Linked DNA regions of Arabidopsis thaliana. The protein of the gene in region 2 interacts with the protein of the main gene of each other region in a pairwise test. Each region holds a gene or a part of one and is shown on either strand. Other genes may lie near its edges. The genes, in order: RABG3d and SQS1.

Region 1 (4,159 bases), on a different chromosome or scaffold from region 2:
TCAAAGCACAATTAATATAGTAATTTTATTAGAGTCAATCAATTAAAGTCCAATAAGTAACGTTTCCTTTCAATGGTTATTACTTATTAAGGCTTACAAATTCACATATCAACTTTAATCCATTTGTTATAATAGTAACTTTTTAACATTAAAATACACATATTATCTTTAAGTTGTTTCTTCCATATACATACATACTACTAAATAAGTTTCTACACATTCAGAAAAAAAAAATTATACATCAAGATATATGAATTATTTATTATAAAAAACATCTATATTTTTAAAATTTACTACCTTTTTTTTAGATATATATTTTTATTTTGATATTTATGAGAAAATTGATATGTAAACATGCTATGTCATATTAATTTGGATTCTTGTCCATAAAAATCTAAACATTTCTCAATATATAATAAGCTACTTTTTTTTTATTGAAGAATATATAATAAGCTACAAATATAGTGTATGCTATGATTTTGGGGACACTTCCTAGTTTTCTTATGATTTGCTTACCGGTAGAGGAAATTGATTTTCTCAGTTGTGTTATCTATATTTGACAAAGTCAACTATTTTTATTTACACATTTAGTTTAAGAGTTAATAATATTTACACATTGCCCCAATCAGATACGCTTAACCCGTATTTATTATTTAACTTTTTTTGTATTGGTAAAAACGCTGAGAGACGATCGATCTTCAAATTCTCATCGCTTTCAGAGACAAGATCCCACAAAAACCGTCCAATGTATCCTTCAAATTCAAACCCCTTCTAGAATCGAAATTAAGTTGGATTTTGGTATCAGTATAGAGTCCAAAAGAAAAAGGAACCCAATTCATTACAATCTGTAACTCAAAATGAATCTGAAAATACATTTCTGGAAGTTATAAATATATTGTTACAAAATCAAAATGTGCCAAACAAAACAATGTATCTGCAACAAACTTTTGCTTGATTAGCATTCACACCCTGTTGATCTTTGTTGCTGACCTCCGGCAACATCAATGGTGTCGGGAAGGTACCTACGAGAGGTATCAGAGACGGTCAGAAGATAAGACTACGACGACTTGAAGTGATGCAAATTTGCCAAAAAAAAAAAAAAAAGCAGTAAGATATGTTTGTACTTACGGTTCTTCTTCAGGTTCATTCTTGAAAGCATTTTTGGTAATGCATTCGAAAGCCGCATCTACATTGAATCCTTCTTTGGCGGAAGTCTCAAAGTAAGGAATGTTTCCTTTAGATGCACACCATGCCTTTGCCTTTTTCTCAGAAACCTGACAAATATAGGATAACTTTAGCATAACCAAACTCTAGACACTTAAGTATTTCATGAAATGAAGATAACGTCTCACCACTCTGCTCTTTCCACCATCAACATCAGTCTTGTTCCCCAACACAACAAATGGAAAGTTTTCAGGATCTGAAGGACTAGCCTAAACAATGACACCACAAAGAAGCATTTGGTTTATAGCAATACAATTCTCAAACTACAAAGTTCTATAAGAAAGAAAAAAACAAAGAGGATTAGTGTTACCTGAATCAAGAACTCTTCCCTCCAGTTATTAAGATTATCAAAAGATTTCATAACATTGACATCATAGACAAGAACACAACAATCCGCTCCTCGGTAAAACGCAACTCCCAAACTTTGAAATCTTTCTTGTCCAGCAGTATCCCAAATCTATATAATGTACCAAGAGATTGTATTAGTAATAGTTCTATAAATCTCTATAGACAACCAAAAAAACACTGTATCTTCCTAAGAAGCACACAAATTTGAACCTCAACAAAGAAAGATTTTGACTTTTTCTGCATTATAAACCCAAAAAGGTAGGAACCTAAGATCCAATCACATTCTAAGAATCAAAATGTTTGATTGATTCAAAGAATACCTGTAAAGTGAAGATTCTGTCATCTATTTGAACCTCTTTAGTCAAAAAATCTGCTCCAATCGTAGCTTTATACTGATTACTAAACTTTCGATTCACAAACCTATCAAAATAGAATCAATCAAAATCAAATTTCATAAGGAATTTATCAATGTTCTAAGTAAGAGACACATAGATCTGGATTTCAGAAACATACTGATTCATCAACGAAGTCTTCCCAACACTGGCCATAAAAAAAGAATCAAAATCTCATCATTCAATGAACAAATAAAACCACATCAAATCTGAAATCTGAAGAGATGAGAGAATTTACCCGCTATCACCGAGAATGATAACCTTGAGAAGAACTCTCCGGCGAGAAGACATTGACGGAAACTTTTAGGGATTTAGCTGATTTGGTTTTTCTTTTCAGCGAAGAAACTGTCTCTGTTTTCTTCTTTCACAATCTCTCTCTTTTGGTTCTTCTTCTTCGTGTGATTTACAGAAAAAGTATATACTGTATTAGCTAAATAACAGCAAAGTTACTATTTTAAAATCTTTTATTTTCCCAAAATTGCCCCTCCTTTAATTAGTCATTAACTAATCTTATTATAAACAATTTAAAAAATTAATTAATTATACTTGAAGAAATCTTCAAACGGTCTAATTATGTTTACTTTATCAAATGTTTTGTTAATTACCATTGACTTATGTACTAACTATACTAATAATTACTCCTTCAACCAAAAATCAAACACCATGCTTATAAAAATATTATTTCTCTGAATCTAAAATCGGTTAATATATATATGGGATTTCATTTGCAAAAAAAAAAACAATTTCTTCAAAGTTGCATGGATAACAAAAGAAAACATGCTTTAAAAAAAGAATCAAAGATGTTAAAAATAACTTTCCACTCAAATAATATATCACGGCCAAAAAATAATTAAGAATCATAAAGTCTTTGATTGAATCTAATTTAATATCTTCACACCAAACTCAAAAAAATCTCCAACAAATAATATTCACGTGCAATATCAGGCTCATGACAGTTTCGATTAGAGCCACACATGGAAATAATTAAAAGTGAAAGCGCGTCTAATGAATAATGTGTTTTACACCTAAACCTACGGGTCCTACCCCAAAATGATAAGACTTAACTATTACCAAGAATCCTCTGTTTAAAGTTCATGTGTCCTTGGTATTCTTCTCCGGTTCGATCTCCTGCGTTGTACGTTGGCCTTCGGTGATACTAGACGAGCCTGATGGGTTCTGACCATTGTCGCTAGTCAAACCACTGCATTCGCTGCTACCAAATGTTTTGCTTTCGAACGCCATTTTCTTGAATTTCTTCAAGTCTTCTTTGTATTGTGTTGAGCTATAATCTGAGCTCCCGTCTAAGCTGTAAATAGTACTTTGTCCTGGGGCAGCTCCTTCTGTTAGGTCATCTATAGATATATTTCCTTCGAATGCTCGAACTATCTGCAATTGTCCAAAGAACAATGACACCATTGAACTCACAAAGTTTCATTTTTTATCCTAGTGTTAGATTGAATGTTGCCAAAAGGTTTTGATGTGATAGTTAGTACCTGGCTCATTTTTGGGCGACGTTTAGCTGAATGACGGACACTAGCAGCAGCGCAAGCAACCATTCTCGTCATTTCGTTGATATCAAAATCATTCTCTAACCGCGGGTCAACAAGACCGTCAAAGTTTCCATCGTTTAACGCTTGTATCATCAGAGGTTTTGCCTAGAGCATGAGGTAAAGTTTAAAAGCTTATTAAAAGTGGTGGTAAGGGAAACAAGATAACCAACCCAATCAACGATGCTATCATCATCAGCAAAAGGCTGTGATTTATCAACAGGACGGCGTCCGGTTATCAGTTCAAGAAGCACCACTCCAATTGAGAAGACATCTGATTTCTCAGTAAGTTTCCCTGAAGAAGCATATTCAGGAGCCAAGTAACTGCATCACAAGAAAGAAGTTTAAAAGATTGTTAGTATGTTATGAACTTATTATGGTTATGGTTGCGTATAGAAAAGAGTGTTTCGTACCCGAAGGTTCCCATAATCCGAGTGGAGACATGAGTATCAGTGTCTAAAGAAGACCTGGCAAGTCCAAAATCTGCTAACTGATGAACCAAGTTCAGCATTATTAGTAGTGCAGTCTAAACAACATTTTTATATAGTTTTACAAGTTCAAGAATACCTTCGCCTCATAGCTATCGTCAATTAGAATATTTGCAGCCTTGACATCGCGGTGTATTGTCTTAGGATTACCTGAAACAAA
Region 2 (6,262 bases):
AAATATTGCTGTAACTAAAAATGTAACATAGCTATATATAGAAAAAAAAAAAAACATACGGCGTTACGAAGCTCGGTGCCAAGTTGTTGAATAACAAGAGAAAAGCTTTTAGAAACTTTGTGAAGAATTGAATAACAGAAAGCTAAGTGTGGCTCAAGTGGAATCTGCTTCTGAGCTTTCGTAATCGCAAGTTTCAACTTCAAGAGCGGATATAACTCATCCGGATGTCTCAAAATCGTACTCAAGCTTCCCATTTTTAGAAACAGAGGAGAAAAAACAGAACTCGTTTGAAACAATGGAGGATTTGTTGGGGAACAAAATGGTAGGCCATGTGCTATAATTCAACAAATATGGCCCTATTAATAAATCAATAGACCCCACGGCCTTTGCATACCTTGCACTTCCACAGAATCGCTATTAGCCTTGCTCTTAAGCTTGCCACGGTGATACATGTTACTGGTCCAACTATGTTCTATTTTTGCATTTAAATTGCTTGCCGCGTGCTACACACTTAACGTTAAAAAGATAAATCTAATCTTGATTCATGTTTTTGTTTTATATACTTTGAAGAGACTTTTTTGCCGACCTAAAAAGAAAGAAGAGATTTCAGTCTTCGATTGTCATTTTTCTTTCTTTCTTATTGCATTTGGATTTTATCTGGTTGTTGTTGGTAAAATTAATCTTAAAACATGCCAAAAGAGAACGAAAGAAGAAACGCAACTAAACAAAGAAAGAACTTTAAACACAAGGAATAAAAATAGATGAACAAATGCACGTTTAGATAACGAAGGTAGTAACTAAAATAGAATCCATGGTTTTAGACTAAACCATGCTTAAACTCTGTTTGTTCTGGAAACAATCTTGCTTAGGATTCAGTGGCGTGAATAAGAATCAACCTAGATTACTTCATCACTCAAATTTGCTCTGAACATCTTGAATGATGGTGATACAATCAGACTCGCTTACATGGATCACTCAGTTTGCTCTGAGATATGCAAAGACTATGGCCAGTAGAATCACAACCATTATAATCTGCATTTTCGGGTAGAATATATAGAATATAAGTTTTATGTATTTTTTTAAAAATGAGATACTTATATGGAAAAGGGAAACTATGTAACTTACAAAGACACTGTTTGGTTGTCCTTTGTCATTAACATAAGATTTTCTGAAAGGAAGAGACACAATGATTCAGCAGAAACCCAACCAGAAAGAAAGATTATGATAATATCATCCTATTCTAGAATACTTGGAAGATTAGTTATAGGTGCTTGTGACCAGTTTCTTAGTGAGAGGATTTAATGCAGCTTTTGGGATTAAATAAAAGACTGTACCTGTTTTGAAGAACTCCAGCGTCTCTGCAGAGTTTCTGAACGGCTTCAAGTCGGTTTAGTGTCTTACTGGCATTTGGATCGTTCTTGTCAACCTATGTCATATATGTCGATAGAAAATTCACATATGATTCTTTTCTTTAAACAGAAACTGAGTGAAAAACTAATCACAAACATGGAACTGATGACTACCTTTGTCTTCAGCATGCAGGAAAAATCATAGAAAGCACCATAGACATCAGCCATTGTCTTTGTACGATCAATGACTTTAGCAGTAAGACCTAAACAATAGATAGTTGTTCAGCGATATTAGCCTTCAGATAATAAGGCTAGCTACTACACGTTCTCAAGCTCGTTGATAATAAAAGATAACGGGTTTTCCTTTCTCATAAATAGAAATTAGGGATTGGCCTACATAATTTCTAAGGCTTAACATCTTACCTCGCCTCAGTTTCACAACGCCTCTGAATACTTGTTCATTGTTATAGCATAATGCAAGTGTTCCAATCGCCATGATCTAATCAAGAAAATACACCCAAGCAAAGCAATATTAACTTCTAAGGCATTCTATATTAGTGCAGACGTAGTTAAAGAGGAGAATACCTAATTCCATATGAAGAGGAAAACAATATAAACAGTTCTCAATGTGAAGTTTAAAGACTTAACAATTATGTGATATTTCGTTCTCTAACCTGAGGGATGGCACAGAACCGAAATATGGAAGGATCACGCAAGGAAACCATGTATTTCAGGCAATCTTCAATATGCATCAACGCATTGGTAACCATTTCATTTAAGCACTGTACGGATTTGTTTGTGTTCTCCTCGTATTTTAAATCCTACATTACAATTTACAAATCACCAAAAAGGCACTGTCAGAAAATAGTCAATATGGGTAACATCAGACCTAAGATGAGAGCTTGAGAGTGGTATGTATGCACCTCAAGCTTGTCAGCATATTTGCCCCAAATCTCGCGAGGCCAAAACATGCGGGATTTTGGTATCTCATTAATGTCCTCAAGATAATCTCTGATAATGTTTGTTTTCTGCAAATAAGACCAGTGTTATAAATCATTCAATGATAGAAATTGTCCGAAATTGCAAAAGATTTGAGGAAGAAGAAACATTGTACACCTCAAAATACATTGTTGTACCTGCAGAAATAAACCCATTGAATTGGAAATCGCCTCCCAATCTGGTGTCAAAACCTCTGATCCTGCAGCGAGGAAGAGTTTCGACAAACCTAAACCAACAAGCCCAGCAACATAGTGGCAGTATTCATCGTAGTCATCAACAGTTTCTACCTGTGTATAATAGTGAAAACTGGATCAACTGGATCGGTAAACAAATGATTTCATTTCTTTACAAAACTTATAAATAAGTTTTGGTACTTTCAATACAATTACTACTTGTCATATCATAGAAGCATCACATGAGGCATTCCAATATTTATGACTTATGAAAAGATTAAGCATGACAGAATTCTAACTGAAACAGAGACCTCAGTCCAGCTCAAGACATTTTGTCACCATAACTCAAAAACAAATCCAACTACGAAAACTGCTCTGTATCACAGACCTCTTGGCAGATAAACTTGGCCATCCCTGCACCCATTCTTCTAGTAATTTCCTCGATAGCCTCTTGATACCTTCATATACAAAAGCATATGTTAAAAATGAGGTAATTAGTATTGTCAGAAAGCAGATAAGAGTATCAACAAATTGAGTAACTCAATAAACGTGAGACAACATGAGCAGAAAAAATCTATAAAGTAGAACAGAAGTGCGTATAGCAAATATTAGAACTAACCCTTTTTCAAGTTCCAAAAAAGCTGCAGAAACATGGTGAAATTGGTCCATTAGAATCTTGTACTCCTTCGTACCACCTAAAGTTGAACAAGTAAAATTTGTCAGTTAGACAGTCAAAGATTAATGGAATGTGAAAGATGAAGATGTTAAGAGACTCTTCAGACTTGCATGAATAATGCCAATCAGTATCGTATATGTGCCGGTGAAAAGCTATCAGGATGGGAACCTTTTCATCAGTTGGTATGCTAGTATCATCCTCTGTCGTACAAAAAATAATATTAGCAGCAGAAGCACGAAGAAGAAAGATGGCTCTAACATAAAAGCATTTCAAAACAGAAATATAGCAGATTTTGGAGAAGCCTCATCGTATCAAGGTAATCTTGAAAGCAAAGTTAAGAGACACTAACCAACAGTATCAAGAGCTCGGAGAACCAAGTAGAACACACACACCTACAAAATGAAAAAAAAAAAAAAATTGAATAAGAAAATGCTGCAAGACTGAACACAGCTACACTGATAGCATGTGATCGAACACACACACCATTTTATATGTGGAAACATATCGAATCATAGTTCACTAAAATACAATCTGCATTTACTGCAGCTCAGAAGAAACTGCAGAATCAATTAATAAGAATCTGCATAACTCATATTGAACTAAGTGGAACACAAACTCTCAAAGCCATCGGATTCTACAGAAGAAACCAATCATCGCCGACGTCAACAATAAATGAGTGTCAGATATCTGGATTCCTCCAAAAATTGAAGACGTTGACCAACACAGAGGCCGAGAGCGAGAAGAACTTACGGCGTTACGGAGCTCGGTGTTGAGTTGCTGAATAACGAGAGAAAAGCTTCGAGAAACCTTGTGGAGCATCGAATAGCAGAAACCCCAGTGTGGCTCAGGAGGGATCTGCTTCTCCGCTTTCTCAATCGCTCGTTTCATCTTCAGGAGCGGATATATGTCATCCGGATATCTCAGCATCGTCCCCAAGCTCCCCATTGTTTCCAGAAAATTTTGATTCAGAAAATGGAGGATTCGTTGACGACGATCTGAGATTCAGAGACCACGAGGGATAAATTGCAGGAACCCTCACCTGCGATGTGGATCGACGCGATTCGGCCAGCGAATATCCTATTTTTTAGTTTTGTTTGTTAATTTATTCATCGATGAAAACAAAGGCTTCTGAATTTTTTTTCTTTCTTTTTTGCCAGTGAGCCAACTCACAAGGATTCACATTTTGTTTGTTTCTTCCTTTTTAATTAAAAACAAAATGTCAGAGCCAATGAAATTGAAAAAGAGCCACGAAACTTAAAGAATATCATCAAATGGAAATGGAGAGTACATTTATTCTTTTTAACTCCCTTTTTCTTATGTGTTAATTAGATTAAAAAAACAGAAAACAGAGAAAATGTGTTTAATATAATCAGAAATTAACAAAATTAGAAAGAAATGATCAAATTATAGATGTTGAAAGGAAAAAAAGGTATATTCTAAAAAAATGGAAGAAAAGGTATCTTTTTAGTTTTTATTATCATAAATGTACGACATCAAATTTACATGTCCACTTATTTATTTACTGGCAAACTTTCTGGCGACGCTGAGGTGGCAAAATAATCCTTACGTGGCAACATATAACTGGTTGTAAATACGTATCTTCAACAGTGTAACTACCAATTAGCACAAGATAACACTCGGTGGTTTGCCTCTATTAATAGGGTAACTTCCTCTGGTTATCAAAAACAAACAGTCTTGAAAAATCAAAGAAGCAACCTCTAAACAACACACAATTTCGAAAATGGCGCAGCGATCTAGGGTTATCACCATGTCTCCTCTCATTCTCGATCAAGAAGTTGATCTCGATCTCTGGGAAGTTGTTAATCCTTCTGATGGCGAGTTCTCCGACGATTCTTTCTCCGTCGATAGTCTTTCCGACGATGACGTCATATCTCTTGACGACGCTTCCTTTGTCGCACCCTCTGTCATTTCTCCGCCGCATGAGATAATTCCTATTGCTGACGGTGGTGATCTCGCCGTGGATCTGGATGGTGATGATGATGTTGGCGATGATGTCGTTCGCGATGAAGTTGATGAGAATGATCTTGGATGGTCTCAGCAGCGGATGATGTTTCTCGGTGGAGGTTCTGGTTATTCTGTTGGAATTACGTACGGAGATAGTGTTAATGACGACGGCGAAGAAGATCGCGAGTACGACGATTCGTATGATCTTGACGAAGAGTTGGTTCCGCGTAGCGTGAGTAAGAAGGTGGGGAGACAAAGGATGAGGAAACTGGGGAAAAGAGCAATCGCCAAGGTCTATGCCTCGAAGATATCTCCGTTTTTGAAGCCTGGTATCGTTCGTGGTAAGCATGGTCTCGGCATGAAATTCAAGTGCTGATTGTGTTGGGATTTCGAAGTTTCACAAGGCGATGGGATGGTTTCTTCAAGAACTCTCGGTAGAATTTCTCAGTTTCTGGGTTTAATTGATGTGTAAATTTGTTAGTTCAATTTCAATTCCTCTTTAGTAGTAAGTAATTCGGATGCTTCTGAAGATCTCATTGTACATGATGGAAATTAAATAACTCGCATTTTAGGATTCATTGTTCATTAACTGATCGCTTTCTTTGATGGCTCTTTAATTTGGTTGATCAGATTGTGATTGTGAATCTTGGGTTAGCAAATTGTAGTGTTGAAATGGAGAAGATGATGAATGGATCATAATAACTCTTGATAGATGAGCTCGTTTAATCTTGTGTGAACCTTAGAATTGAAAACGACAGCTAAACTGTAGCAATGATTTAACAGGAAGAAGGTTTGTGTTTGGTGGTGGTTAATTTGGTTATCTTTGTAGAAGCTTTTGCAATTTTTGTGAATGTTGGTGGTTGTTTGAAAAGTCATACTCGTAGGATGTACGCATCACTCTGAATTTCGACATCTGAGTGGTTGAGACTGGAGATAACTTTATTTTATTTTATTATATCTAACTTGTTGCATGCACTATGGACTTCGTATATCTCTCTACTAACAGTCAAACACCTATACGATAACAAGATGCTGGTGTTCTCAAATTGAACATTTTGAAGCAATTTCTTTTAGGAAGATCCTTAAAGACAGGAAGCTGA

The links.
Region 1: the proteins of SQS1 (region 2) and RABG3d interact in a protein complementation assay, tested with the Arabidopsis thaliana proteins (one large-scale study listed by BioGRID).

Annotation. Positions count from the first base shown.
Region 1 is NC_003070.9:19,467,195-19,471,353, forward strand, and holds RABG3d (RAB GTPase homolog G3D), read right to left. Parts: upstream 2,393-4,159; 5' UTR 2,256-2,392; coding exon 2,203-2,255; intron 2,113-2,202; coding exon 2,086-2,112; intron 1,993-2,085; coding exon 1,893-1,992; intron 1,682-1,892; coding exon 1,535-1,681; intron 1,434-1,534; coding exon 1,353-1,433; intron 1,275-1,352; coding exon 1,129-1,274; intron 1,023-1,128; coding exon 956-1,022; 3' UTR 621-955; downstream 1-620. Other genes in the region: PERK15 (Protein kinase superfamily protein), read right to left, coding at 3,057-3,350, 3,458-3,619, 3,685-3,835, 3,925-4,001, 4,079-4,149. UniProt on the Arabidopsis thaliana protein: Intracellular vesicle trafficking and protein transport.
Region 2 is NC_003075.7:16,536,369-16,542,630, reverse strand, and holds SQS1 (squalene synthase 1), read right to left. Parts: upstream 4,443-6,262; 5' UTR 4,143-4,442; coding exon 3,948-4,142; intron 3,930-3,947; exon of another isoform or gene 3,711-3,929; coding exon of another isoform or gene 3,681-3,710; intron 3,590-3,680; coding exon 3,547-3,589; intron 3,398-3,546; coding exon 3,308-3,397; intron 3,217-3,307; coding exon 3,141-3,216; intron 2,980-3,140; coding exon 2,910-2,979; intron 2,636-2,909; coding exon 2,486-2,635; intron 2,378-2,485; coding exon 2,273-2,377; intron 2,171-2,272; coding exon 2,024-2,170; intron 1,849-2,023; coding exon 1,773-1,848; intron 1,613-1,772; coding exon 1,524-1,612; intron 1,427-1,523; coding exon 1,335-1,426; intron 1,169-1,334; coding exon 1,126-1,168; intron 1,033-1,125; coding exon 976-1,032; 3' UTR 607-975; downstream 1-606. Other genes in the region: SQS2 (squalene synthase 2), read right to left, coding at 60-254; AT4G34630 (prostatic spermine-binding-like protein), read left to right, coding at 4,939-5,538.